2 linked regions of the Cricetulus griseus genome follow. The protein of the gene in region 1 interacts with the protein of each later gene in a pairwise test. Links are inferred from orthologs where the notes say so. Each region holds a gene or a part of one and is shown on either strand. Other genes may lie near its edges. The genes, in order: Irf9 and Irf1.

Region 1 (15,597 bases):
GGGAGGGAGGTGTGCACATGAAAAAGGAGACACCTTTTCTTTTCAATTTTTTTTTTTTTTTTTTTGGTTTTTCGAGACAGGGTTTCTCTGTGTAGCTTTGGAGCCTATCCTGGCACTCTCTCTCTGGAGACCAGGCTGGCCTCGAACTCACAGAGATCCGGCTGCCTCTGCCTCCGCCTCCTGAGTGCTGGGATTAAAGGTGTATGCCACCACTGTCTGGCTCCTTCCTTCCTTTTTTTTTTTTTTTTTTTTTTTTTTAAAGACACTCTCATATTGTCCAGTCTGACCTCAGACTCACTGTGTAGCTCAAGATGACCTGGATTCCTGATCCTCCTGAGTATCCGGCTTACAGATGTGTGGCACCATGCCAAGGGTTGATTGTAGTGCTGGGTGTTGAACCCAGGGCTTTGTGCATGCTAGGCAACCATTCTTTCAGCTGAGCCAAACACCTTCTCTAACTCAGAAGGAACTGCCTCAGCCATGCAACCTTGTCTTTCCCAGTGCTTGCTTGGATTCCTGCCCTGAGTTCAGTTTTCCCATTAACAAAATGGGGACACTGGAGCACTTCATTTTTTCTGAAACTTTGTGCTGGTCAGGTGCAACATGAGAAGAGGGCCCCTTATTAGCCTTTAGGCTCCTCCCACACTTAATACAGCTGGGCTTTTCTGTTCCCAGACTACTCGCTGCTGCTCACCTTCATCTACAGTGGGCGTGTGGTGGGCGAGATCACGGTGGAGAGCCTAGACTGTCGCCTTGTGGCTGACCCCTCAGTCTCGGAGAGCAACATGCCACAAGTGGTGTTTCCCACACCTGATCCACTGGAGCCTATCCAGCACCTACTGAGTCAGCTTGAGAGAGGCATCCTGGTGGCCAGCAATTCCAGAGGCCTTTTTGTTCAGCGCCTTTGTCCCATCCCCGTCTCCTGGAATGCACCTGAGGCCCCACCTGGGCCTGGTCCGCATCTGCTGCCCAGCAATAAGTGTGTGGAGCTCTTCAGTACCACCTGCTTCTCTAGAGGTAAAGGCTTCCTAGCTGGGCACCTCAGCACCCACCCCTGTCTCTTTGTCCCCTGGGCCTGACCTGGGTTCCCCCCCTCCCCTGTCCGGCAGCAGATTGTCACCACAGCCTGTGCGTGGCACCCCTGCACTCGTGTGCCGCACATTATGTGGAGCTGTATGTTCAGCTCCGGCAGCATTTCCCTCGCCAAGGTCATGGTAGATGAGGTCCCGCTGGGTTCAGACAAGAGTGGCACATCTTGGGGGAGCATTGTACAAACAGGTTAACACGGATTTTAGCCTGCGACCATCTCCACACACTGCAACGCACAGCTCCGTTTGTGGAAGAGCCAAGACATCTTGCACACACTTGCCCCGCCCCACCATCTCTACCATGCTGTGGGGATCTCCTAAGACCGTCCCTTCCTTCTGGCCACCCATGAAATTCTAGTTGAGCCTCTGATTGTGAGCATAGGTAGGAACATAGAGGATAGCGTGGTGTCCCTGGGCTCCTAGTGCCCTAGTGTTGGGAGTATAAGCAAACAACAAAGGGTTGGTAGCCAGGGCTGCTGCTTCTGAGGCCTCCAAGGTACCCTTCCTACTGCACCGTGAAGACCACTTAATTCTTAGCATCTCTAAGCCACAGCTTTGCCCTGACCTTGGTGTCCTTGTTACCACATTCTCATATCTGCATCTGACTGCCCAGACAGCTCCACCTTACTCAAGGCCCTCTATATTGTTACTTTTTGTTTCTGAGTCAACTCTCACATTGCTCCTGGTGGCCTGGAACTCCCTAAGTAGACCAGGCTACTTCAAATCCATGGCAGCTCTCCTGCCCCAGCCTGAGTGCTGGGGTTACAGGCATATACCACCATGCCTGGCCTTCCCTCTTCTTTCTTCCAATCCTTGATCCTCTTTCTTTTAGACTTGGCCCAGTACTGCCAGGGCCAGGGCCCCCCACCCAAGTTCCAGGCAACCCTGCATTTCTGGGAGGAGAGGCCTGGCTCCAGCCACACCCAGGAGAATCTTATCACAGTGCAGGTGAGCTCCACTCCAAAACCAGGTCAACGTTGATTGGTTGCAGAACTGTTCCTAAGGGGGAGGAGCTACGGGGTAGTGACTGTGCCTGCAGTGCTCATGAGGCCTGTTCCTCATTTCTTCCCATACAGATGGAGCAGGCCTTTGCCCGGCATTTACTGGAGAAAATTCCAGAGGAGCAGAAAGCCGCTTTGTTTCTGTTACAGAACCCAGAACATCCATCTGCTGCTTTATCACTCTGATCCTCAGGTCTCTGTTGAAATAGTCTTGTTCTCCACACCATTGGTCTACCTGCTTTGTGTTGACTATCGATGTGGATTATACAACATGGCTGGTAGTGCAGGATCTTTTTATCCTTAAAATAACTATTTTGAGAGCCAGGCTTGTTGGTGAATATTTGTAATCTCAGCACTTGGGAGACAGACTGAATGACTTTTATTTACCTTTTTTTTAGATATACCCTCTTTCATCTCTAAGGAACTGGAAAGTTCTAAATGGTGTGATATCAGAGGGAATTTTGCTCTCTTTCCAACCCCTAACTCTAAATCTAAGCACTTTATGTTTCCTTCCTAGAATTAAATAAAATTTAACTTGGGGGGGAGGGTAGTACACATCTGTAACCTTGGCACCTGTGGGGCAGAGGCATGAAGAGTGAGAATTCAAGGCCAACCTTGGTAGCATATTATGACCCTGTCTCCAACAAATAAATAAAAGCTTTTTAAAAGAGAGATGAGTATGTGCTATGTTGGGAGAGGTAGCAGGGTTACAGGGGAATTATAAAGATATAGACTTGGGTATTTAGTACCTGGGCTCTCTTCCTGATGACCTCTCCAAGTTCCTTTGCTTTCCTCTGCCAGCAGGACTAGCTGGAATGCTGTCTGGCTCTGGAACCTAGTCTCAAACACATGGTGATTCTCCTCTCCCAGCCTCTTAAGTGCTGGGGTTACAGACACAGACCACCATCCATGACTGCCTTCTCTCTTTTCCAATCCTTGACCCTTCTATTTTGTTTTTCAGACTTGGCCTAGTACTTCCAAAGCTAGGGGTCCCCATCCAAGGTTCAGACAACCAAACTGGGGAAAGGATTGGGAGTCAATCTCTAAGAGAGGCCTACAGTCAAACGGCACTATAGCCACTGGTGGCTTAAATGAGAATAGGTTCTGTGTGCTCATACATTGGAACCCCCTTCCCCCGACCCCAGGGCAGGGTTTCTTTGTGTAGCCTTAGCTGTCCTGGAATTCTCTGTAGACCAGGCTAGCCTCAAACAGAGATCCACTTGCCTCCTGAGTGCTGGGATTAAAGGCATGTGCCACAGCCACCACTGCTGCCTGGCATACATACATGGAATACTTGGTCCTCAATGGAACTGTTTGGGAATGGTTAGGAGATGTGATCTTGTTGGACAAGTTGTGTCACTGGCAATGGGCTTTAAGGTTTCAAACATGCCGGGTGTTGGTGGCGCACGCCTTTAACCTCAGCACTTGGGAAGCAGAGGCAGATAGATCTCTGTGAGTTTGAGGCCAGCCTGGTCTACAGAGAGTTCCAGGATAGCCAGAGCTGTTACACAGAGAAATCCTGTCTCAAAAAACCAAAACCAAAAAAAAAAAAAAAAAAAAAAAGCCATATTCTAGCACCCTGGTTCACTGAAACTTGAGAGCTTATAATTGACTGACACTCTTTTTTACTCTGTGTCATTTTGTCACTAAATGGGGATGCTTTTCCTTTGCTACCATCACTTCCACCAGCTGGTTCCATCACCATCTAACTGGCAGCACCTTCAGCGTCCACATTCCTGCACGGAACACCAGATTTACTTTCCTTCTTGCCGTGGCACAAGCCTCCAGAGGCTTGCTCACATGATCAAGTCTAGATGCTTAAGTCCTTACAGGACCTTGCCAGACTCCTTGGTGGTTTTCTGCCTCCTTGAACCTTTTTCCTTCCCTTCAATCTGTCATCCCTCAGGGAAGCCAAGAGTAAACAGGGGAGGTTCTGCTTTTGTGCCTTCAGTTTTCTGAAATCCCCCTTGAACCTTTGTACCAGTTCTAAAGTACATCTTTGTCTTGGACCCTACATCTAACTCCAAATGGCAATGGTCACTCTTTCTTCAAACAAACCTTTGAGGGGATGGATATGGCAGTGCACTTTTAATCCCAACACTCAGAAAGCAGAAGCAGGCAGATCTCTGAATTCTGGGCCAGCCTGAGGTATATACAAACTAATACCCTGTCTCAAAAATTTTTAAGAGGTGGTGGTGGTGGTGAGATTGCTTAGTGGGTAAAGTCATCTGCTGCCAATCCTGGAGATTTGAGAGTTTGATGCCTGGATCTACATGGTAGGAGAGAACCAACTCCCACAAGTCATCCTCAGACCTCTCCACATGCAGTTTGGTACATGCGCATCCCTGCAGCACTTAGAAAATAAAATATAAATGTGTGTGTGTGTGTGTGTGTGTGTGTGTGTGTGTGTGTGTAACTTGATTCCTGTAGAAAATACAACATGTTCACACATGCTGCAGTGGGAACAGAAGCTAGGTTTAAAATGTCAGTCTGGAGCACTGAGGAGGATGAATAAAGGGGTGTGAAATGACCAAGCTAAACAGATAAAAGGGGGAGTGGGTTCTAGGACGATGATTACAGTCCAACTGCTCCACAAAGCCCTGAGGATTATGTATAAGACACTTAATATTCTTGCTTCTAAGGCAGCTAATTCTAATGTGTAATTGCAAGTAAGTTAGATGTCATCTAACAAGCTTCTGCTTAGGAGACTACCTCAGACCACTCCAAAGACAAGGCACTAAATACAGGGTAACCAAGAAAGACTGAAACTGTATCTTGGTGGCTGTGATAGAGGTAATACTGCCATAGCAAAGCTACAAGCTGATCCTGTCAGTGTGACAACAGAGTGCTTCGTATAGTTTAACAACACTTGAGACACTAGGTTAGGGGTAGTAAGACTAGCCAAATGACTAACAGCAATGGACAGTCATGGTCAGGCACTAACCAAATGTCAGACAGAGAGGTGCTCCAAACACTCCTAACTGGGTATGCAGCCCATTATCATCTCCCTATTAGGCCAAGCAGACACACAGAGCATGTGGGTTCTCCATTGCCCTGCCCAGTCATAGCCCTAAGAGCTAGCCAACCTCAAGCAATTACCGAAATTACCTCAACCTTTGTCCAGTTTCTGCTACAATCCTATAGAAGTCCTAGAGAAAGAAATTCAGTGGCTTTCCCTCCCTTAGCATCCCTGCCCATTCTTGGGAGTACCTCTCACTTCTCATTTTCTCACTTTTCTGTAACTTTTTTTTCAAGATGTATTTATTTATTATGCATAGTGTTCTGCCTGCATGTATGTCTGCAGGCCTAAAGAAAGCAGCACCAGATCTCATTGTAGATGGCTGTGAGCCACCATGTGGTTCCTGGGAATTGAAAGCACCAGATCTCATTGTAGATGGCTGTGAGCCACCATGTGGTTCCTGGGAATTGAACTCAGGACCTCCGGAAGAGCAGCCAGTGCTCTTAACCACTGAGCCATCTCTCCAGCCCCAACTTTTCTGTAACTTTTAAATTATTTTAATTTTATTATGTGTATGGGTGTTTTTGCTTGCATATGTCTCTGTACCACAAGAGTGCCTGTGGTCTATGGAGTCCAGAAGAGGACCTCAGATCATTTGGAACTGGAATGGATGGTTATGAGCTGTCGTGTGGGTCCTCTAGAAGAGCAACACAAGCTCTTAGCCTCTGAGTCATCTCTCCATCACCACTTTTCTATAATTCTAATAAAGCTTGCTTCTGCTTTGCCTTCTCCCAAAAGACTCTGCCACTGACTCAGGTTGACCTTTGGTGATCTTTGAGTATCTGACACATTAGAAGCTTGAGACAAGAAAGGTCCTATTGTTCTTAAAACCCCTGCCTCAGTTCCACCTAATATTACCACAAATCTCTTGGTTCTTTTCACATTGTCTCTGTTCCCACTCTTGTCTGCTTTTAGCCTATTCTCGACACAGTACAGAGAGACTCTCAACACAAATCTCGTCATTTCATTCTTGTGCTTAAAACCCTCCTTGACTCCCAACTCCCTCAAGGTAACAGCCAAGATCCTGAAAATGACCTCCAACATTAAACAGTCCCCGCCTCCTTCCCAACTAACTCATCCTTTGCCCTTCCCATGCTACTTTGCTCCAGGATCCTTGAACCCGCAAAACATGTTTGTTCTTTTTTTCTAAAATACTATTCCTCGATGACTGGTGGCGCTCACCTTTAATCTTAGCACTGGAGGCAGAGGCAAGTGGATCTCTGTGAATCTGAGGCCAGCATGGTCTACAGAGCGAGTTCCAAGTCAGCAAGGGCTACAAAGAGAGACACTGTCTCAAAAATCCAAATAATATGATAATATAATCTTACTGCATGCAGTCACATGACCCGTCTCTTCAAAATACCACCTCTTTAGAGCTCCCCTGGGTATCCCATACAAGTTGCCCACATCTTCTGGTCCTTCTGTTCAATTATGTGTGTGTGTGCGCGTGTGTGTGTGCACGCGAGCACGTGTGTGAGAGCTTGCGCCTTAGGAGTTGGATCCCCCTTGAGCTGGAGTTACAGATAGTTGATAACTGTGAGCTGCCTGATATGGGTGCTGGGAATCAAACTTGAATTCTCTGGAGAGCTGTGCATGTTCTTAACCACTAAAGTTAAAACTTAATAGTGCTGCCATCTCACACACTTCTATTTCCTTATCATCTCTCCTTCCCTACCCCCGAGAGCAGGGAACAGTGTTCCTTGTTTATCCCCAGTGGCATGTGAGAGGCACCTTGTAAGTGCCTGTTGGACTGAATGGATGAATGGTAGCCAAATTACTCTATGTACCATGTGTATCTCTTGAACCTAAAAGTAGATATGGAGCACCTTCTGGTCAGGGCTTGCACTTCGTCTTTGAGCCCCGACGTGACAAAGTGACACTTCAACGATTGAAATAACCAGTGTAGTCAAGCACAGTAGGCTAGGGATTGGGAATATTAGAACTCAAAACAGCAAAATTCCAAGGCAGGCTCTGAGGAGCTGTGTGGTTTATGAGAGAGCATGTGGGCTGTGCTTCTCCCCACTTGTAAAGTTGGGACTCATGCGAGGTCCCTCAATCCCTGTGCTGTTGTCCTCTATGTAAGGGGATGTGTGCTCTCGTGCATGCTCCTGAGTATTTGCCGTGTACCACATTCCTGCAAGAGCCGGAGAAAGTTGAAAAGAACAGGGGTGGGTGGTGGTGTATGCCTTTAATCCCAGCACTTGGGAGGCAGAAACTGATGTGTCCCTGTGTGAGTTCAAGTCCTGGTCTAAAGAGTGAGTTCCAGAACAGCCAAAGCTACATAGTGAGACCCTGTCTCAAAACAAAACAAAACAAAACAAAACAAAACAAAACAAACAAAAAAACCCAACCCCACAAACACTGGCAGAGATATGTTTCAGTTGTTAAGAGGACTGACTGCTTTACAGAGGGTGCAGATTTGATTTCTTTCTTTTTTTTTTTTTTTAAAGATTTATTTATTACATATACAGCGTTCTGCCTACGTGCCAGAAGAGGGCACCATATGTCATTATAGATGGTCATGAGCCACCATGTAGTTGCTGGGAATTGAACTCAGGTCCTCTGGAAGAGCATTCAGTGCTCTTAACCTCTGAGCCATCTCTCCAGCCCCCAGATTTGATTTCTATAAGTCATCTCACCATCTGAACTCCAGTTGGAGAGGATTTGATGTCTTTTCTGATTTTCTTTAGTTTTTTTTTTTTTTTTTCCAAGACAGGGTTTCTCTGTGTAACTAGCTGTCCTGGAGCTCACAGAGATCAGCCTGCCTCCCGAGTCCTGGGATTAAAAGCATGTACCACCACGCCCTGCTTTTTTTTTTGGTTGATTATTTATTTATTTATTTATTTATTTATTTATTTATTTATTTTTGAAGCAAGGCCTCAGCTAGCCCAAGCTGAACTCGCTGTATGGGCCAGGCTGGCCTTGAACTCTAACATCTTCCTGCCTCTGAGTCCCCTCAACGCTGGGATTATACATATGAGTCACTATACTCTGCCTCTCAGTCTCTTTGGGTTTTGACCTTGTATAGTTGTAAATATAGGTCAATTGAACAATCACTTGACAAATACTGTACTTACATAACCAGAAGCCAGGCATACACTGGAAAAAATGTGACCCTGCTCCCAAGAGCTCCAGACGGAAGGGGACAGAGAGAGAGAGAGGGTCAGTTCAACTACCACAGAACTAAGTTTAATATCAGAGCCTACCCTGGAGCCAAGGCAGGAAAGAATAGTCTAAGGCAAAGAAATGGTTTTATAAAGGCAGAGACACCAGAGCAAAAGATATTTATAATTTTGGCACCATCGTAATCATATGCTTAATTTATATAAAAAATTATTTGAGCCGGGCAGTGGTGGCGTACGCCTTTAATCCCAGCACTCAGGAGGCAGAGGCAGGCGGATCTCTGTGAGTTCAAGACCAGCCTGGTCTACAAGAGCTAATTCCAGGACAGCCTCCAAAGCCACAGAGAAACCCTGTGTCAAAAAACCAAAAAAAAAAAAAAAAAGAGTTATTGAGGGGCTGACAATATGACTCATAGGTAAAGGCACCTGCCACCAAGCATAGGGACTTAGGTTCAGTCTACCACAGACCTCACATGGTAGAAGGATAAAACTGACTCCAGCAAGTTGTCCTTCGAGCACGCGCGTGCGCGTACACACACACACACACACACACACACACACACACACACACACACACGCACGCACGCACGCACGCCCACACACACTATGAAAAAAAGTTAAATTTCTGGTTTAAAAAAAAAAGCATCACCCAGCAGTGATGGTGCATGCCTTTAATCCCAGCACTTGGGAGGCAGAGGCAGGAAGATCTCTGTGAGTTTGAGGTCAGCCTGGTTTACAGAGCTAGTTCCAGGACAGCCAGAGCTACACAGAGAAACCCTAACCCGAAGGGGGCGGGGAGAAAGGTGTCTTGAGCCAGTGTAGCACTCAGGAGACAGAGGCAGGCTGATCTCTGAGGTAAAGGCCAGCCTGGTCTACAGAGAGAGTTCCAGGACAGCCAGGGCTATACAGAAAAAAACCTGTCTCGGAAAAAAAAATAAATAAAAAGAGCATGTACTTTCTATTAATTCTGAGGTTTTTGAGCTAGGTCTCATGATGACCCAGGCTGGTATTAAACTCACTGTGAAGTGAGAACTGTCCTTCAACTCCCACCTTTCCTCCCAAGACCTGAGATACATCCACACACCTTCATTTTTGTTTTGCTGTTGTTTTTATTTGCTTGGTTTTGAAACAGAATCTCCCTATGTAGCTCTGGCTAGCCTGGAAGTCATTGTGTAGACCATCATGGCCTCAGACTCAGGACTGGCCTGACTCTGCCAGGATCAAAGGCTGTTTTCTTTCCTTTCCTTTCTGTGGTACTGAGGGTTGAGCCTAGGGCCATGCAGATGCCAGGCAAACTCTCTACTACTGAGCTACATCTCCAGCCCTGTTCCCTTTTTTTTTTTTTTTTTTTTTTTTGACAGGGTCTCACTATCACTTCCTAAATGGCCTGTAGACCCGGCTAATCTCAAACTCATAACCTCTTACTGCTGAGATAAAAGGTATACACTACCACTCCTGGCCTCTGTTTTTGCTTTTTGATTGGAGATAGTGTCTAAATTTCTTTCTTTTTCTTTTTTCTTTTCTTTTCTTTTCTTTTTTTTTTCCCGAGACAGGGTTTCTCTGTAGCTTTGGAGGCTGTCCTGGAACTTGCTCTTGTAGACCAGGGTGGTCTCGAACTCACAGAGATCCTCTGCCTCTGCCTCCCGAGTGCTGGGATTAAAGGCGTGCACCATCACGACTAGTGTCTTAATTTCAAGCGGCAGGTGAAGTTTGTAGTTGCAGCCCCTGTGGCTGTTTTCTTTCTTGTTGGCATGTGGTGATTACAAGGCCACCTCACACTGTGGTTAGCATTTAGTTCAGCACACACCCTTCATGGACACAAAATCAGGTGGAATTGAGGATTAAGAACAGGATTTATGCACAGGCAAGGTATGGTCCCTTGCATCTCTGCAATTATAAGCAGCGCCAGGGCATTTGCCCTTGGCATGACCCCATCTCCTTCTAGTAGACACCCTGCTAGCAAGCTGTCTCCAGGGAGAAACTGGGTTTTCTCCCCGTTTATTGGTCAGCAGAACCCGTTGGAGAAGTCCTTGTTACTACCCGAGAGAACGAAAGCCCATTGGCCAGGACACCTCACAATGCCACAGTAGTGCTCAGCATTCTCGTGATTGGCTCGCGACCCGTCTCCAAGAGCCTATGGCCTGGAACCGGGTTTTGCTGCCTAGCACCAGGAGTCACAGCTCCCCATTGGCTGTCCTGGCTCAAAGCCTTGGAGAGCGTGCTCCTTGTCCCGCTGGAGGGCGACCGGACCTAGAGCAAGTCCCAGAAGCTTGACGATGTCTGTGTGCTTGAGGACGAAGAAGGCCTGTTGACGAGAACTCAGTTTAACCTAAAGACCTGTTATTTTTTTGTCCCTGCCCAGGCTTTCCCTTGGAGCTTCGCATCTCTGGCCAGGACCGCCAATCCTGATGGTAAATTCTGTTTCCTCGAGTGGTATGCAGACCTCGGGGGTGGCAGAATGAAGGGTGCGCAGCACCTGCTTCTCCGTTTGGTTACCTCCTAGTTCCGGTACTAGTAGTTGGTGGTCTTATTAATTGGGCTTTTTGCATCCGCATCCACCATGCTCCCTGTCCAAATTCCTACTCCTCTGCCATGGTGCTGGAAATCTCGTGTCCTAAAGAATTCGGATTGAGAGCCAAACGGGATTGGTGCTGAGCGTGAAACCCAGAGATGTTCTACTATCCTAACGTGCTTCAGCGCCACACAGGCTGCTTCGCCACTATCTGGTGAGCACAGGGCTGATAGCTATGCCAGGAGCCGAGTAGTGGGAATCTTGAGTTTGACAGGCCATACCTGTCCCCACCCTTCCAGGCTGGCAGCAACCCGAGGCAGCCGGTTAGTGAAGCGTGAATACCTGAAAGTGAACGTAGTAAAGACTTGGTAAGACCCAGAAAAGAGGGAGGAGTCTCTGGCTTGGGAGCTTCGATGAGTGCAGCATTGACCAGGGTCCGTTGTTCTCCCAGCGAGGAAATCCTCAATTATGTGCTGGTACGAGTGCAACCTCCGATGCCTGGGCTGCCCCGGCCCCGCTTCTCCCTCTATCTCTCTGCGCAGCTGCAGATCGGTGTGATAAGGGTCTACTCTCAGCAGTGCCAGTACCTTGTGGGTAAGACTGGGAACACTAGAGGTGGGCTAGAGCCGAATGGCTCATGCCTAAGCTGATTATTGTACCTTCCTTGCCCACAGAAGACATCCAGCATATCCTAGAACGTTTGCACCGGGCCCAGATGCGGATTCGCATTGATATGGAGGAGGCTGACCTGTGAGTCCCTGGAACCCGGGCCAATCAGACTTGCTTCAGCCTCTTTTTTTCTTTTTTATAATGCATTCGTGTGTGTGTGTGTGTGTGTGAGAGAGAGAGAGAGAGAGAGAGAGAGAAAGAGAGAGAGAGAGAGAGAGAGAGAGAAAGAACACAGTCAGTCTGAGAAGGTGGGTTCTCATCATTACATAGGTTCAGATTTAGGGATCAAATTCAGGACTTTGCATTTGGTGGCTGCACCTTTACCTGCTGAGCTATCTCACCCACTCTCAGCCTTGTCCCTGACATCCCAGTTCTCTCCCAGACCTAGCTTGCTTCTTCCCAACTGTCTGGCCATGATGGAGACACTGGAAGATGCCCCAGAACCCTTTTTTGGGACGATGTCTGTGGATCCAGGACTTCCCAGCCCTTTTGATATTCCTCAGGTAGGGCTCATTTCCCTAGAGCACCTCAGAAATCACAAGATGGCAGTATAGACCGAAGGGTTAGTTGGTGTCCTTGTGTTAATCTGAGGTTTGGGGATGGGACACTGCCATAGGTTCCCATAAGAGGCCATGGAGCAAGGGGATTAGTGGGTGCAAACAGGGAAAGCCCGAGATCTTCCTCACTTAGGGCCAACCTGATGGAATGGCTTCCTCATGAGAGGCATGCTTCCCCCATCTCCACCGTTCCCACCACTGAGACCCTAGTCTAGATGTTGGCTTTTCTTCCCCATCTTCTCCCATCATCCCCACAGCTTAGATATCACTCCATTTCCCATCTTCTCATTCATGCAAGTTGGTCCTGAATGCAAATAGTATCTGCACCTCTAGGGATCTTGGAGCCTGGATTTGGTGGAGTCCATTCCATTCTTTTCTCTAGATCTCCTTAGCTACCAGCACCAGCCCCCATTTTCTATGTCCCAGAAATGCCACATTTACTTCTTTACTTGTGGAAATACATCTCTCAACCTGATAAGAGCGGCTCTTCATTCTCTGCTGGCCAGGGCCTACTTATCCTTACAGACTTAGTCGACTGTCACCCTTTCCATGAAATCATTAACCCACTCGAAGCCAATAGAAATGAGGTTTGGAATGTGAGCACTTTACCAAGGCCACTCTGTCTTCTTCGTTGGCTCCACTGGAATCACACTCACTCACACTTGTCCCCACTACCATCTACCCAAGAACCTTTTCTAGTCGTTTCTGTCCACAACACAGTTGATGTGTAGATGGATGTTGCACTGCTTTTTGCACAAATTCACAAAGCTAGTTTGGAGGCGAGGTTAGGACAGGGACAGGAGGAAGAGTAGGTTGGTGGCTTTATGGCATATGGGTGTCAAATGGCACAGAGATTTGGTTTAGGGCTGAAGGCGTAGCACAGTGATAGAGTATTTGCTTAACATGCACTAGCCCGCAATTTGATTCCCAGTTCTGAAAATACACACGCTTGTGTGTGTGCGTGCCCGCAAACGCGCACGTACACACACACACACACCTTGGATATGGTGATGTAAGCTACTTCAAGAACTCATGAGTTTCAAGGATGAGTACTGTCAAAAGTTGAAGCAGGGGTGGGTGGGGCTGGGAGTAGAGCCATGGCTCAGTGGTTACCAGTGTATCCAGCTCTTGCAGAGGACAGGATGTCACTGCCAGCTTTCACAGTCATCTCTCACTCCAGCTCCAGGGATCCAACATCAAACTCTGCCTTCTGGCCTCCAAGGGTGCATGCATACACACACAGATAAATAAAATCTTTTTAAAAAGTGTTTAGGTCAACCTGAGCTACACAGTGAGACCTGTATCAAAAATGAATAAATAAGAAAGCAAAAATTCTAAAACAAGAAATACAGAGACGGCCAGATTGGTGTCCACTGAATGTTTTGAAAGTAAGGACATAGAGGAGTGATGCTAAGACCTGTCTTTTGTTCCCAATTTCTTCCCAAAGATTCGACACCTTTTAGAGGCTGTGACTCCAGAGAAAATTGGTAAGGAGACCCCCCCTCCTGAAGTCACTGCAGAGCCCAGGGAGCCAAGTCAGCAGGGAGGGCTGTTCTGATGAGAGGCTCAGGAACCCAAGAGCTCAATCAATGACTCTCTTTTTTACCCGAGACAGGGTTTCTCTGTGGCTTTGGGGGCTGTCCTGGAACTAGCTCTTGTAGACCACAATCAATGACTCTTAAAAGCCAGGCTGGGTGAGGCTGGGTGACACATCTGTAATCCCATTTCCTTGGGAGCCTGATGTGGGGAAACTCCAAGTTAACACCTGCCTGGGTTTAGATACTGAGTTCAAGGCCAGCCTAGACTGCTTAAAGAAACCATTTCAACATTTCCTTTTTCATTTATTTATTTGTTTATTTTTTTCAAGACAGGGTTTCTCTGTGTAACAGCCCTGGGTGTCCTTGAACTCGCCCTGTAGACCAGGCTAGCCTCAAACTCATAGAGATCCACCTGCCTCTGCCTCCCAAGTGCTGGGGTTAAAGGCGTGCGCCACCAACACCCGGTTAACATTTAAAAAAAAAAAAAAGGATAAAAAACAAAACAAAACAGGTGGACACCTATAATCCCAGCACTCAGGAAGTAGAGGCAGTACTGAATGCTCATACAGAGGACCCAGGTTCAGTTCCCAGCACCCATATACATTGGCTTACAACTACCTACAACTGTCCCTCCAGAGAAATCTGACACACTCGCAGGAATGTACCCACATATAGGCATACTCACATATACATAATTAACAATTCAGACAAATCTTTAAAAAGAGTCCAAATGAGGTCAGAATTACTATCTTCATTTTAAGGATAAGGAAAGTAAGGCTCACGATGGTTAAGAAATGAACTCGGAGGCCGGGTGTGGTGATTGTACACCTTTAAACTCAGCAGTGGCAAAGGCAGGCAAGGTCTCTTATTGGAGGCCAACCTGGTCTACATAGTGAGCCGTGTCTCAACAAACAAACAAAAAATGAAATGCACTTGGGGTATTTGCTGCTGACTAGCCTGGGTCTGGTTCTTGGTCTCCAAAATCCATGTTTTCGCCCCAACAACTTCAAAAGAAGTAGGGCTGCTATCATCTTCCTAATCCTCCAGACAGGACCTTAGCCACTGTTCATTCTCCTGAGGCCATCACCCTACAGGAGGCAGAGCCCATACGCATGCTGCGGATTGAGGTGAGTTTCCCCTTAAACGCGGGATTACAGTCCAGCCTCACCACACCCCTGTAGTTCTGCCTTTCTCTGTTTTCATTTTCCCACATTCTGTCCCGTTAGTACCCACTGGGTTTCCTTGGGCTCAGTCTCAAAAAGTCTACTCTGTTCCTCTCTCCATAGGGAGAGCAGGATCTCCCAGAGGTCAGCCGAGGTGATTTGGACCTGCTGATTGCGGAGGAAGATGATGCCATATTGCTGGAGGAACGTCAGCGAGGCAGGCTTCTCCAGCGTCGGAGAGCTTCTCCAGCACTGGATGGTCAGCTCTCCGCACAGCCAACATGAGAATGGACAGGGCCTTGTTCTTCTGTCTCCTAAATGTTCTGATCCTCTCTCTGCAGAATCCAAGGAAGAGCCCAGGGCCATGGAGGGTGATGGTGTGGTCCCTTCACTCTCACCTCCAGCTCCAGCTCCAGCTCCAGCACAGTAAGGGCAGGAATCCCTCTACCAGGTAAGGGGTCATTGCTAGGAAGGTTTCTTTATCTGCCTGTTTCCTTCAGGGTTGAAGGGATAAGAGAACCACTTCCAAGCCAGGTCTTCGCTCCCGAGGTACAGAAGTTGACAGGCTGGGAGCCTGGGGCCTTACTCACTGGTAAGTGTCCATCACTTGGTGCTTTCTCGGGAACAGCTGCACACTTACAGAGACAAATGTCCTTACCCCACCTTCTGAGGGAGACACTGGTAGCTGCAAGAATGAAGAGGCTAGCTGGGTGGTGGCGGCACATACCTTTAATCCCAGCACTTGGGAGACAGAGGCAGACAGGTCAGAGGTGGAGGCCAGCCTGGTTACACAGTTAGTTCTGGGACAGTCAGAGCTACACAAAGAAACCCTCTCCAAAAACAAACAAACAAAAAACCAAAAGAGTGAAGGGACCAATCGAGTGTGGAGATAGCATCTGGAGCCCGATCACTCCAGAAACTAGGGTTG
Region 2 (15,162 bases), on another chromosome or scaffold:
ACATGCTTACACCCTACCCTGGGCCTTCTCCTGAGGGAAGTCTTGGTACATCCCTTCTCCATGAGCAGAAGTGTAGCTCAGTGTTTATAACTGCTGTGGAAGAGTTTGTGCTCCTGTCTGTCTACAAGGAGAACATAGTAGCAGAGTCAGTCAGCCCCATCCATATTCAAGGGATTTTTGTTTTGTTTTTTGAGACGGGGGTTTTTCTGTGTCCTGGAACTCACTCCGTAGATCAGGCTGGCCTTGAACTCACTGAGATCCCCCTGCCTCTGCCACCCAAGTGCTGGGATTAAAGGTGTGTGCCACCACTGCCCTGTTCATATTCAAGGGACTTTTAAGGAAAGGAGAGCAGAAAGAGACAAGGCCCAGCCAGAGAGGAAAAATAAAACTCACCAGAGCTGCTGGTCCAGCTCCGGATACAGAGCTGGGAGAGAAGCTGCTCCGAACCCAATAGTGGGTTTGGTTTAGTGCAAAACTGGTCACCCTGCTCAGATGAAAACATGGCTGACAAGTGCACTTTGAACCCTGGGGATCTAAGCCCTGGCTGGCCAGAGTCCTCGGGAATAAATGTGGTCTATGGCCAAGTTGCCAGCTGCTCTGGGGCCAATCAAGTTACAAGCCTTGACTGTTTCTCGGCCCCTGGGGCCCTAGCCCTTGAAACATCAGGTGGCCTCCCAGGGTAGGTAAAGCATTGCTTCTCTTGAAGGCCAAGTCAAACCCTACCCCACTAGAGCCCCAGTCATTCTCTAGGCCCTAGACTCTAGGGCATCAGGAGGGGACAGTGACAGCTCCACAGTCCCAAATGCCTTCTTGGCATAGGGTCCTAACACCCTACTCCTTCCCAGCTGTTCTCAGTTTCCTTCTTTCAGGAACCTTGACAGTGTGGAAACAGTCTGGGTTCTGGACATGGATAGATGTGGGTTGGAAGCCAACCTCCATAGCTAAGTCACCTTGGCAAGCCTGTTGGCCTGTTGAACATTGATTTCTGGTCTGTGAACAAAGGGATGGTGTTGCAGGGAGGTGGGTGCAAGTATACTAGTGTACTTGAGCAGTGTGTCTGTGTTGTCATATCTGGATAGATGCTGTGGTCCCTCGGACTCCTACATGCTGATATCTTCTTCCTGGTGAATGGGTGGCAGGTGGATACCCGCCTCTCTTAATTTTCACTTTGTCTTCACGAATTTGCCCCAGTGGTTCCAGCAACTCCCCTGTTGAAAGGAAACTGAGTGTAGGCACCACAGACCCCCACCACCCAGCCACCAGAAGCAGAGGATTCTGCAACTTCCTTAAGAACAGCAGCAGTGAGTCTCTTGGGAGCTGCTTGGAGCTGAGGAAACTGTAAAGCCAGCCAGTGAGGCCTCAGACTTGGGCCCACAAGGGAGTTCTTGGAAAAGGCATGTACCAGCTCATTCTGCCCAGGCCTCCTTCCTGCCCCTTGGACAGCTGGCAGGGGTCTGACCACTTCATACATCTCCACATGGAGGGCAAGTTGTGTGGAATTAAGAAATAACATCTGATGAGAGCAAAAGATTCCAGCTAGGTGTTCTAACAGGACTGTCTAAAGGATGTACACAAACAAACACACACACACACACACACACACACACACACACTGCACTCCCCTGTGCAGTAGGTTTTTGGATCTCACACCACAGGCAGGACTCCGCCCCACCAAGAGGAGTGCTTTGCTTCCAGAGAAAAGGATTGAAGCTTCTACCAAACTTTCCCTAGGATCTCAGCTCTCCTTGGCTGGCTTTGAGAGGGATCCATCCCTCATCCTCTGAGCCAGAGTTGTCCCAGTACTTTGCAAACTGTATACTGAGAGGTGGACAGTAGCTGTTACACCATAGTCTCTGGCATTCTTCCTACTTCAAAGTGAATGAACAAGCTACCTTGATTAAAGTGACAAGGCAAGGAGACCACTGTGACTCACTAGAAATGCCCTCAAACATCTGTGAACTTGGGCCACCATGACAAGGAGGGCAGGACTCAGCTATGCCATCTAAAAATCAACATAGACTCTAGACCTACCTCACCTCTGAGCTTGGAAAAGTGGTTCTCCTCTGAACCCTACCTCGTTGACAGTTAATCCCACTGTTAAGTGGTCCTTGATAACTATGACATCACCACAACCCCAAAGAAATGCATCTTTCAGTGACTTCCCAGTTGCTCAGCCCGGAGTGTCCATTAGTAGACAGAAACTCTTAGGTGTGGCTCTTAGAAGCACTGTTAAGTCCTTAGAATTATCTTAGGCCTAAATTTGGCTCAATTTATACTCATATTACCCCATTCCAGGCACCAGCTGCCATCTTTAATTGAATAGTCATATTTTACAGGGTTTGTCTTCCAGGCAAGGGCTGAAATCCACAGTAGGGCAATTCTTCATCTTGGAAGTCCAAGGACCTATGACCTAGCTACCCTGTGATGGAAAAGTAGAGTTTTGGGGTCCCCCTTGGACATCCCCAGGGGATGGATGGTCCTAACCAAAGGAGATTTGGACTCTATCTTGGTTCTGGAGGTTGGAAGCTGATAGCATAATGCCTTTGCTTTTCTGATGTACTGATGATGAACTTTGCTTATAAGAGCTTAAGTGTCCTTCTGTTGTTTGGAACTTCTGTCATTACTATATACTCTCCATCAGGGATCAAGTTGAAGGAGGGAACAGAAAAGTCAAAAGTGGGCCTTGCTGTCTGTGGTAGACTACATTCCTCCCCTCCATTCTTTCACAATCCCCTCTAGCTGGCTTCACACCACTCCTACCTGCCATTGCTTAAGAGCCACCCACCAGAAAACTCTGTAGATGTCACAGGAGGCTAACCCCCTAAAATCTTGTTCTTGGTAAGGACTGGGCCCTGGAAGGACTAAGAAGGCTATCCATCTCCATCTTAGTCCCCAGTAAAGCTATCCTTGAAAAACCCAACTGGGTCTCCAGATGGGCAAGGCCTGTAATCCAGGACCCCACCCCCACCTAGTGAGGACAGCCACCTAGTGACAGCCCATCTGCCAGGCACACAGCATGTTCAGTCTTCAGGGTAACCACAGACTGAGCTTTGCCCATTTTACAGTTTTGTCCTCATCTTCCCTTCCCTCATTCAGATCTGCCCCCAAGCTGCACCTGTTATTTAGTACAAATGAGTCCAAACCACAGTCAGTGGTCAGATAGTCACTGAAATTAAAAGTCAAGTTCCTGCATATATCATTGGTCACATTTCAGGTACTTAGCCCCCAGGCTTGACTAGCATTAGTACAGAGTAGAGATCATTTCCATCAAGTGAGGCCTAGGGCAGCAGCAGGCCTTGGGGATGTTGCTTGCACTGTTGTCTATTCCATTGTCAGTGTCATACCAATCGTTTATTGTTTGGAATGGCACCTGTTTGTTCAGCAGAACAGATAGGCTCTGGGTTCCTCTGAATTTGTCACAGACTAACAGATAACCAGGCCCCAAGAGTTCAAAATCAACTCCCAAGCCTGATGACCTGATTTGATCCCAGGTTCCACAAAGTTAAAGAACCAACTTAATTAGGAGTTGGCCTCTGACCTCCACTAAACAAATAAAATAGGATTAAGACAATCAAACTCAAAGGCAGAGGCAAGCAGATCTCTGTGAGTTTGAGGCTAGCCTATGTATGCATAGTGAATTCCAGGACAGCCAGGATTACTTAGTGAGACCCTGTCTCAAAAAACCAAAAATAAATACAACAAATGAATATAAATGAGCATGTCCCTGTAACATGGCATGCGGTTCCCTCCTCCTGCCATCTTCTTGACCATAACTGGAAAGATTCATGACAGATGCATGTCAATGCTCAGCCAAAGCTCAGGCAGAACGCCAAAGATTCCCACCAGAATGTTTCCATAAAAAGTAAAACAGATTACGACTTCTAAGTAAAAAGCCACACGCCTTGTAAACAATTAACTTTATAAAAAGACAAATATACATATTTACACAGATCCATATGTGATCAAACACAATTTAGTAGTTAGGTGGCGTTTCCAATAGTCAAAGTCACGCCAAATCGCTCACAACCCCCTCCCTGGGCCTGCTGAGGACTGCCAAGGCCTGAGGAGACAGTGGGCACCAGGCAAGGCACTGTATAAATAAACGAGAAGGCCAAGACTTGGGGAGAAATGTTAGTGTACACCTCTGATCAGTTATGTGGCAAGGTCCACAGAGAAAGTGCCATTTTTTTTTTCCTGAGCCCTACAGCTGGAGAGCAGGTAGCGAGGCAGAGCTCCTCTGAGGCTAAGGGAGCCCAGCCTCACAGGACTCCATTTTTTTCCTTCACATTTCACTGGCTTTGAAACCATCCCAGGGCTCGGCTGGGAAGGGCAGCAATTCTTTGGGAATAGGACTCACTTAGTGCAATTGTCTCCCAGTGCACAGCCAGCCCAGTGACAAGACCCTCTCCAGGCAGCAAGGCTTTAAAGAGCTAGAGGATGACTCCTGTCCCTGTCTCCCACCTCACAGCAACCTCAGAACCCCAACTCCATCTTCCCAGGAGTCAGGGCCAGCTTCACCTCACAAGAAAAACTCAGATCCTGGCATTCCAAGCCCTGAGAGTCCACTGACCCAAGGAGGGTGGTCTCTTCCCGCTTGGCAGTGGGGCTATGCTTTGCCATGTCAAGGGACCCACAGCAGTCTAGCTTTTCTGTATTACAGCCACCATGACACCAGACCTTGCTCATTCAGAAGAGCAAGAACGGGTCAGGGACCCAAACTATGGTCCACAAGGAATAGCTTGAATAGAGGATAGCCTGACAGTGGGGGGCAGCAAGGTGTCCATCCAGATGGAGTCCATATTCTTCAGATCCGTGAAGACATGTTGTATGCCCATTCCAAAGTCCCCTAGAAGATGACCAAAAAAAAAAAAAAAAGTTATTTAAGAAAAGGTACGAGAACCTCACACAGTCGTCCACAGCAAGCAGCAAGCACAGCTCGTCCTCAGCACAGGAACAGTGCTCACTGCTGTGCCTGCTGATCCAGTTTAAAAGAGATCTTTTATCTTTATCTGACTCTGCCTCCTATCATGTCCCAGTTCCCATAAACTTCGCTCTTCTCCCAGAATCCATAAGGACCTGGAGACCTCTTACCTCCAGGGCTGTCAATCTCTGGTTCCTCCTTGCAGCTAAACTCTCCATAGACAGAAGAGGGTTGGGCTCCTGGTTCATTGAGCAAGTATCCCTTGCCATCCACGTTTGTCGGCTGCCACTCAGACTGCTCAAAGAGCTGAGGAGAAAACATGAAGCCATCAGCCGTCTGCCAGTGCAGACTTACCCTGTGGGCCCTGCCCTCAATGAGCTAACCCTTCCCAAGCAGAATCACACCCTTGGGCATTTGTATATTCTCCAATGGGTGTCAGCATGCAGAACTGTCAAGACAAGGCCCAAGAGTGTGGGGAACATCGAACTACCTGGGCCCTGTAAGGCCTCTGCTGTGTCACTGTCCTTCTCTCTTCCTATCCCCACCCTCTGGCACAGAATCTGCATGACTTCCCTCAACTCGGGGAGGACATAACAACTGGTAAGGCAGCTTAAAGTAAAAGTTAGCATAACAAGCCAGGAAGGCTGAAGACAAGGGACTAGACCCGCATCTCAATGTTCTGCGCTCACAGGCCAGAATCAGGACAAAACTACCTCAAAAACTTTTATAGCCACTTTGAAAACTGCAGCTGAAAAAAATGAAAGTGCAAAAGAACTTGCTAAGGAAAAAAAGATTTTTTTTTTTTAGTCATCTTAGTAGAGATCCCAAAAGCTGATTATTGAAACCTGATGTGCATTTCCCAAACTGGGAATGGGCTGGGCAAGCTGGGGCGGAGGACACAGTGCTGATGGGGGCTGACTCAGAGCTGTCTGGGACCCTGAGGCTTGCTTCAGGATGGCCTGCTAGAGACTAGGCATCTCACCTGCCCAGGCAGCAGTCCCCCCAACACACGGGGGTGGGAGGTGGGGGGGGTGGGAGGTAGGGGGGGTGGGGATGGGGGGTGGTACTTGTGGGGCTATGCAGCCAAGTGACAACAGCACCTGCCCACACTGATTTGGAAGCTTTCCCTAGCTTGCTCTCCCTTCACAGATGCGGCATGGAAAAGGATTTACCTTCACGATGTCCTCGGGTAACTTCCCTTCCTCATCCTCATCTGTAGCAGCTGTGAGGAAGGGCAGAGGTTAGCTATACATGTTTGCCCTGAAGTTCCACCCCACCAGCTCCAACCCCAAGCCCCCCACCCAGCCTTCCAACCAGCATCTTGCCTGCCCTGGAGGTTCCAGAACAGGACACTGGCCTGATGACTCACCCTCCCCAACCATGGAGCAAGGCTGTATCCCACCCCTTTACTTCCTTCCTCACCTCAGACAACTGAGGGCAGAGAAGCCAGGAGCACTAGCCACCTTTGACCAAGATGTGGCCGTGGCCTGATTGCCTCCCTCCTGGCCTGGAGCACACAAAGGCTCTAAACTGTCTTGCGTCCCATGGGCTTGTTTCATGCTATGGGGGCTGGGTTAAGCAGTTCCCAGTTCCAGCTCCATCAGCTCAATGGCACGCACATTTCTAAGCATCTACTTCCCCTGCAGAGCCAAACACAAACAGAGGCAGGCCAGGCCCAAAGGGTACAAACCTTCAGAGGTGGAGGGCATGGGCGACACCTGCAAGTTATACAGATCGTTGGTACTGTCTGGCACAATGTCCATCTGCATGTGCCACTCAGGGAGACTGCTGCTGACAACACATGGTGACAGAGCTACAGGAGGGTACAAAGCACAGGTCAGGATGGCATGCTTGCTTTCTTTTTTTTTTTCTTCTGGTTTTTCGAGACAGGGTTTCTCTGTGTAGCTTTGGAGCCTATTCTGGCACTGGCTCTGGAGACCAGGCTGGCCTTGAACTCATAGAGATCTGCCTGCCTATGCCACCCAAGTGCTGAGATTAAAGGCATACTCCACCACCACCTGGCTGATGGCATGCTTTCTTAATCTGCCATAAATCGGCACCTCCACCCTGCAACCTGCTCTAACAGGCTACTCTCTGCTACCACAGTGCCTCTTGGACCCAACCTATGAGCTCTCTTGCCAGATTGGCATCCTCACCTGGGGTAAGGTCCTGCTCCAAGTCCAAGTCCTGACCCAGGTAGCTCTGAGTGGTATAGCTGCTGTGGTCATCAGGCAGAGTGGAGCTGCTGAGTCCATCGGAGGTGTCAGGACTAGCATCTCCGTATAGCTGTGGAGAGAAGACAGCTTAGGCCTGTTGCAGTGCTCTTCACTGCCCACCCTACCTAAGGTGACCAAAGGCTGGGCCACACAGAGCCACACTCACCTTCCTCTTGGCCTTGCTCTTAGTGTCTCGGCTGGACTTGGATTTTCTCTCTGTGGGGCAAACAGGCCATGAGCCCTAGCCGATCTTCCTTCCACCCTTCTTCCCTTCCTTCTGAGGACCCAGTGCCCTTGGTTACCTTTCCTCTGGTTCTTAGTGAGGGGTGGCAGCATCCGGTACACTCGTACAGCCGAGCTGCCCTTGTTCCTGCTCTGGTCCTTCACTTCCTCAATGTCTGGCAGGGAGTTCATGGCACAACGGAAATTTGCCTTCCACGTCTTGGGATCTGGTTCTTTTTCCCCTATTTTGTATCGGCCTACAGAAAGGGAGAGTAAATGCATCCATCAGCTGCTCCCTGGACTAGGTGTACCCCAGACACCCATACTAGTGAAACTAGCAAAAACCACTGGCAATAACCCCCCCCAGGGGGGCTCATGCCCAAGGCTGGCTCAGACATCCAGCAGGCATGTGAAGGGCTCAGTTGAATGCCTTTATTCCAAAATGTGCTCACTGTCTTCGGTTATAACAGTCTCCCTGCTCACACTATCAGCAGCCAGAGACGGCTAATACAGAGGCTTATCTGACGTTTCCAAAGAACACATGTGTACAGAGTGGGCAACAAGGACATTTACTAACAGGTCCTAATTGGACCAAGAACCTGATTCCTAAAAGCCGAAAGGAGGCCACCACCCAGATGAGGCTTGGGCCAAGGCCCCTAGTCCGTACCTTGAGAAAGGAAGATGAAAGTTTCCTTTGGTAGCCTGACTCACAACTCTCTTTGCCAGGAACAACTGTATTCTAGCTACAGACTCCCTGAAGGCATGCTTTCTAAGATTTTCACCTTTATAAATCCTCTGGGAACTTGCTAAAACAATGGATCCCATCCTAGGGAAACACAGGGACACCTCAACCCCTGCTCCAATAATTCTGCATGCTGTGTCGAGGAGCTCAAAGCTACCCAAAGCCTCCATGGTAATAGCCTCCCCTGCTCTTTTCTCTGCCCCACCACCCTGCACACCTGTGTGAATGGCCCAGCTCCGGAACAGACAGGCATCCTTGTTGATGTCCCAGCCGTGCTTGGCAGCATGCTTCCATGGGATCTGGAAGATCATCTCTTCCTGAATAGTGCACACATAGGACTGTGTCAGCTTGGAGACCACAGGATTTGTGGCTGAGTATACCCAGCCCCCAAGTATGGGAAAAGACTGACTTCCCCTTTTCACCCCAACATCTGGCTTGGACTGACCCATCCTGACTGCCTTAAACAGGCCATTCTGCACCTGTCAGGGGGGGTCTGGGTTCTGATAAGCCACAGCACAAGAAGCTGGGCAATGACACCCCCGCCCTACCCACCTGCTGCAGGTGTGCTAAGAGCCCAAAGGGGCACCCTCTCTCAGTCCTGGCTTGGCAGGTCTCTTATGCTTTTCTCTGGCTCAGAACAATGGGAGCAGAAGAGCTTCCTGCATTAGTGTCTACTCAAGACAACTGGAGCCACTGACTCCTATACAGGGTCCTGGGTCATGTCACCAGGGAGCCCGAGGCCAGACATGGATGCTGACAGCCGTGTAATGCTGGCCTATGTCCTCTTAAATAAGACATACCTCAAGGAGAGAGAAAAGTTTTCTTATGTGTATTGGGGTGGGAGTTTGTTGTTTGTTTGTTTGTTTTCCCAAGACAGGGTTTCTCTGTGGCTTTGGTGGCTGTTCTTATAGACCAGGCAGACCTCGAACTCACAGAGATCTGACTGCCTCTGCCTTCCAAGTGCTGGGACTAAAGGCGTGCACCACAGGGGGAGTTTGTTTTTTAATAATAAAAAAAAAAGAGTATGTATGGAGACAACAGCCACAATGATACAGATTTTGGGGGTTTTTTGTTTTCTTTTTAAATCTGTGTGTAAGTGTCAGGGTTATTTGCAGGGGTAGGGCACTTTTGTGGAGGTCAGAGGACAACCTAGAGCAGTTGTCTCTCCAATCACAAGGGATGTGGGGATCAAAGTCAGGCTGTCAGGCTTTGCCTGCTGAGCCATCACCAACAATATAGACATTCAGTCAAGTTTGTTGGAGTTCAGTCTTGGCTTTCATACTTTGTGTGTGATCCTGTAATCTACCCCAGTTTCCTTATCTGAGACCCATCTCATGGGATGACTATGAAGACTAAAATACACAACATTGGTAACATATTTAGAAGGGTACCCAACCACAGTAATTATTGTTACCAATGCTAGTATTGTTGCTAAATCTGCGTAGTCTAGGCTGCCATGTGTACCAGTTATGGCTTCTTGGGCCACAGTAACTGGGTCCCCTGCAGAGCCAGTCATGCTCCTGCCCAGCATCATCTGTCTATACAACTGGAGCCATGTAGGATGTTACACGTACAGCAAGTTTCTCTCACTTGCTCTGCAGATGCTGGGAGTCTTGGTGCTGAGAACTGTGCCTCTAGGAGGATAGGCTCGCCCCAGCTTCAGGAAGGAAGAAGAAGCAGAAGGCATAAAGTCAGACCTGGAAAGTCCTGGCATGCAGCACCCACTGGGAAATACATCTTCCTGCTCTCTCATTTCCACTAATGAAACTTTGGTCCCCAAGAGGACATGGGTGAAAACAGCGCCAGAAATACCCAGAGTAACACTCACTTTATTAATCCAGATCAGCCCTGGAATTTGATTGGAATTAATCTGCATCTCTAGCCAGGGTCTCATTCGCATCCGAGTGATAGGCATGGTGGCTGGAGGGAGAAGACAGAAGGTCTGTGTTTGAAGTCTATTAAACAATCCTGGGCACTGCCCTGCTCCACCCAAGGCCACTCAATTACCTTCCCCTGCCCTCACACCCAGGTCATTACCCTCCCCCAGCCAGCCAGGTACCAGGTCCTATAGGCACAGAGAAGGCAACCCTGCAATAAATAGACTGAAACTGCTCTCTAAATCTCTCCAGCATCATGGGCAAAACCACCTTTTTGCCCCCTTTCTCACCCTCTCCCAGTCAGTCTCAGAGGAGACAAGCAAGCAAGTCTGGATGGTTTCAGGATTTATGTGCAAAAAGAGCCAAAATACGCAGGCATTTCAATGCCAGGACTTTTCTCTCAAAATGCAATCTTTGGGGGAAGGAAGGGACTACTTTTGCTTGTTGTCACCACCAGCTCTGCACCTTCCAGACTGGCCAAGCAAGTCACTCTCCATCCCGGGCACTTCCCCCAACCCTCCCCAACCCTGTCTATGCCCCCTCTGACAGCCGGTGCCCACAATGCATAGGCTGGGGCGCAACCCCTTCCGGCCTGGTTTCCCCTGCTGCAAAGAGAAGTGGCGCAAGCAACACCTGTGGCACCTCCTCCCGAAACCCCTGTAGTTCACGGCCGGGTCTAGCCATTCAGGGCAGCAAGCCAACCTCTGCCACCTAGCACCGCGGGCCCCTAAATCTGGGACCCAGGCGCCAAGCTACGACAGCCAAAAGTGCGCGCGAGCTGACGCCCGACAACCCCCCCCCCCCCCAGCACTGCTCGCCGATGCGCGCAACGGACGCTCCGCTCCGGGCCACCGAGACGCCCCGCAGCGGCCCCGCGCACGCAGACAACCGAGCACAGCCAGGGGGCGGCGCACGTCGCGGCCCGCCTCCCGCCCGATCGCTCGCAGCGCCCTCCCGGGCCCGCGCGCCACCCCGGCCCAGGGTGTCCCTAGCTCCCACTTCCTGGTGTCCCGCGCGCCTTTTGTTCCACGCCGCCCGTCGGTACCCGCGCAACTCCGAAGGGCTCACCTTTGCAACAGGAGCGATCCAGATAGGGTGCCCGACAGCGAGGGTTGCGGTATAGGTACGCGATGCGCGCACAGAGGGAAGGATGCCCGGGATGCTGGTGGCCGCTGGCTACGGCTGACCTTGGTTCGTCTCGGTCGGTTCGGCTCGACTCAGTCTAAGAGCACGTCCTGCCTCGACGAAGGAGTAGCGCGCACTGGCGAGTCCGCGGCGCCGCGGAGAAAACCAAACACTTAGCGGGATTCCCCGGCCCTCATTCGGCCACGCCCCCTCCGGGGCGCTTGCGCGCGCCCATTGGCCGGTGCCGCCTCATCATTTCGGGGAAATCAGGCTGTTGTAGAGCTAAGCAGCGAAGGGGAAGTACAAGGCGGCTGTGCTCCCCACCCCCTCGGGCCCGCGCCGCCGCCCCGGGGCTCCCGCGGGCCCGCCCCGCGCTCCACTCCACCCCCGCTCCCCTCGCCTGTCTTGGAAAGCGAGGCTCTTCCCCTCATTCTGCATGCTCCCAGCTTGCTGGCTCCTGTTACCGTCTTCCCCCTCTCCTCCACCCGGACCTCTAACTCCTAGGTTTCCAGGACACCTACTTCCCTCTCCAGAAGGGACCTCGGGACTGAATCACCCTGAAAATCAGTCTGGTAATGAGGTGTCAAGAAGGGAGGGATTCGGTCCCTATACTGCCTTAGGTGACACCTCTGTTAACGGTCCGTCGCTTGGCTGCTCTGGGAAATTGAGGTAGAAGGCCAAGCCTGCTGCAGGTGCTATGTGGAGCTACTTGTAAGTAGGAACATCCAGCCTGGATGCTGGATGCTGCAGGCACAGCTGTCGAAGGACGCAAGGAATCTTAATTTCCTTAACCACAAATGGCAATAGCTCCTTGCTAGTCTGCAGTGATGGGAGAGCCCCGTATCCTGAGAGATGGGGAGAGATGATGTGTGTGCTCTACCTCGGCACACGATGCTGATGTGATTTTCTGTACCCCACGAGGTTCTAGCAGTGACCAAGGTGACCCTCTTCTCTTGTATCCTTGGGACTACTTGAGACCACGGGAGTGGAGGGAATTCAGAAGTGGCTGTGGTTCCTTCTAGGACTCTTGCCTCAGCTCTACAACCTCACCCTAGCCGTTGGGAGAGAGAGTTCCTCCCTGACAGTATTGAAGTCATTTCTGAGTTCCCAAAGCCTAGATCTGGAGAAGTTCTAGGCAGCAAAGAGAAATTGTGGCCAAGGCATTGCATCTAATAAAAGAAACGGGGACCCAGGTCCCAAGGGGTTGGCACAGGCAGTGTGGGTTAACTGGTGCTCACACGTAAACCTTGCCAGTGTGTTCTAGCAGCTGGGCTGGTGTGTACATGTTCCATCCAGAACTCTGACCCCTTAGGCTTCTTCCTTTACTTCCTCAAGGCTTCTGACTCACAAATAAATCAATCCTCTATGGTGTCATTCTCCTGTGTCACTTTCTTTGTCCTAGCTGTCCCTCTAGGGTAGCACCCAACTGGAGTGTTGCAAGCTGTAATACATACATTGGTGAATGATTGTACCTGTCAATCATTTCGCTGGCTCATGGAGAAGGTTCAGGAGCTACAAGAATCAAGATGGCAGGAGGACCTTGGAGGAAGATACTGAGACTCTAGAAAGAATGGGGAGGTGAGGTTTGGGATATTTGAAGTGGCAAATAAGAGGGAGAATTGCTGCAGAGACTGAGACCTTCTGAACTCTGACTCAGAGTCCTGACACCTGCTTTCTGAGCAGGATGGATGCTTGATATATTGAGACAACCTGACACAGCCACTGGAAAACTCAAAATGAGATTGGGGAGAGGAACTTTGTAACTCTTGCAACCCACAGAGACCCTGTTGAAAGCAACAGGAGACTACAAAATATATTAAAATACCTGTGTGGGTATGCATAATGAAAGTCAGCCCATGTCCTGGAATGCCCATCGGCATTAGTGATGGGTACCTGTTTTCTGTCATAAGGACAAATAAAATTTTACCCAATGAATACGCTGTTGTAGGACATTTAGGTTATTTCCATTCTTTCCCCAATAGAGACAACAGTGTAAGCAAAATCTACACACTCGCTAACAAATTTCCACTTAGGAGATACTCCTCCACCCCAACCCCCACTGCTAGGATTTACCAGTGAAACTGACATTTACATCTTTAAATGTTCTGTGAGGTTTTTTTGTTTTTTTTCCCCCCCGCACTCTGACGCTAGGGATTTATTTTTGTTTTTGTTTTTTGAAAGAGAGTTTCTTGTAGCCCGGGTAAGCCTTAGATGCCTCATTTTCCTGCCTCTATTTCCCAAGTGCTGGGATTACAGGTCTATATTACCTTGCTTGCTGCTTGATTTTAAATTGTAAGAATCTGCCTCTGATTAGGATTGCTATGTTTTTTGTTTTGTTTTGGGTTTTTTCCTAACCCTTATTGAGTTCCATTTTGGTTTTTTGTTGTTGTTGTTTGTTTCTTTGTCTGTTTTTCCAATACAGGGTTTCTCTGCATACCCTAGCTATCCTGGAACTTGTAGACCAGGCTGATCTAGAACTCTGCCTCTGCCTCCCAAGTGCTGAGATTAAAGGCATTCACCACCACGCCCCACCAAATTTTCAACATTTTTATTGCTACTGCCTTTCCCCTTTTCATTTTTGAAACAGCTCATGTATCCCAGGCTGACCTTGGATTTCTGCTCTTCCTGCTTTGACTTATCAAATGCTGGGATTGCAGTTTTGCACCACTTCATCTGGAGTATTTGGTACTGGGCATGGAACCTAGGTATTATGCATGCTGGGCAAGCACTGTCAATGAGCTAGGCTCAAACTCTCCATCTTCCCATTTCACTTCCCACCCCTTCCACTATTCTTAGAAGAGGGTAGAAAACAATATAGAACTGAGCCTGAGCTTGGAATTCTGTGCTTCTGCCACTCTACCTGGGCTGGAGAGGTGGCTTAGTGAGAGAGAACATGCTCCTCTGGCAAAGGACCTGAGTTTGGACCTTAGCACCCACATTGGGCCTCTCACAACCACCTGTGACTCTAGCTCCAGGAACTCTGATGCCCTCTTCTGGCCTCTGCGGGCACCTGCAACTCACATGCACACACCCATTACACACACAATTAAAATAAATCCTTTTTTTTTTTTTTAAAGAAGAAATGACTATTCTTCTCTGGGCCTCAATTAGCTATAAGCCAGAGGAAATCCTAATTGTTGAGAAGATTGTTAAACAAAATTATCAGAGGACACCATTTTAGATTGAATTTCTGCACCAGGCTCCAACAGACCAAACAAAATGGAGTCCCCCATGCTAAGTACTGCATTATTAACTGAAATTTTAAAGAAGCACACCGATCCTAAACCAAACCAGATTGTCCTAAAAATAGGAGATTTTAGTCCTTTCTGCTGTAAGATGTGAAAGTGCACCCTGAACCGCCCTAACATTAACCAATCAGGTTTTTTCCTACTGTTTTGTTTCCTTGTTCTCACCTCACAGAAACCATCCTACTTCTGCCCAGCAGGAGCGCTCATTCTAATTTGTGAATAATGCCTAATTCATGAATCAAAGTCAGTGAGACTCTCAATCAAATTTCTTGCAGTTTTTCCCTGTGAAATCAGATAGACTATCAAAGCCCTTCCCAAACCATTAAACACTCCTTAAATAAAAGATACCCACAGGAAGCCATCTTCCTTCCACTGTGCTTTTCTGCCCTGAACATATCTTCTTCGTCTCTTTCTCCCCAATCCAGAGCCCACCCATGTTCCCCAGTACTCAGGAATACTTCTTCCTGTCTAATATCTTCCCTTCCTACCTGCGCCCTCTTTAAAACTAACAAAAAACAAAAAAGGGTCTTACGTAGTCCAGGTCTCAAAATATATGTTTAAGCCAGGTGGTGATAGCACACATCTTTAATCCCAGCTCTCAGGAGGCTGTGAATTTGAGGCCAGACTGGTCCACAGAGTGAGTTCTAGGATAGCCAGGGATACATGGTGAAACCTGTCCCAAAGAACATATGTTTATTATTTATGTGCAGGTACATGTTTGTGTATGATGCCATAGAGCACTTGTCAGAGAACAACCTAGGGCAGTGGTCCTCAACTTCCACCTAGTGGCTTTTATGTAGGCTCCAGAGAA

What was found.
Region 2: the proteins of Irf9 (region 1) and Irf1 interact in a two-hybrid assay, tested with the Homo sapiens proteins (2 studies listed by BioGRID and IntAct). The link is inferred for Cricetulus griseus from reciprocal best matches to the Homo sapiens genes IRF9 and IRF1.

The regions. Positions count from the first base shown.
Region 1 is NW_023276807.1:210,814,341-210,829,937, forward strand, and holds the end of Irf9 (interferon regulatory factor 9), read left to right. Parts: intron 1-675; coding exon 676-1,017; intron 1,018-1,920; coding exon 1,921-2,036; intron 2,037-2,164; coding exon 2,165-2,275; 3' UTR 2,276-2,761; downstream 2,762-15,597. Other genes in the region: meiotic recombination protein REC8 homolog, read left to right, coding at 10,901-10,956, 11,042-11,110, 11,194-11,336, 11,417-11,492, 11,794-11,914, 13,416-13,503, 14,554-14,633, 14,793-14,928 and 2 more.
Region 2 is NC_048600.1:67,918,052-67,933,213, reverse strand, and holds Irf1 (interferon regulatory factor 1), read right to left. Parts: upstream 11,260-15,162; 5' UTR 11,047-11,259; intron 10,022-11,046; 5' UTR 10,017-10,021; coding exon 9,930-10,016; intron 9,695-9,929; exon of another isoform or gene 9,676-9,694; intron 8,419-9,675; coding exon 8,319-8,418; intron 7,617-8,318; coding exon 7,440-7,616; intron 7,354-7,439; coding exon 7,304-7,353; intron 7,208-7,303; coding exon 7,078-7,207; intron 6,735-7,077; coding exon 6,612-6,734; intron 6,144-6,611; coding exon 6,094-6,143; intron 5,228-6,093; coding exon 5,092-5,227; intron 4,847-5,091; coding exon 4,719-4,846; 3' UTR 3,901-4,718; downstream 1-3,900. UniProt on the Homo sapiens protein: Transcriptional regulator which displays a remarkable functional diversity in the regulation of cellular responses.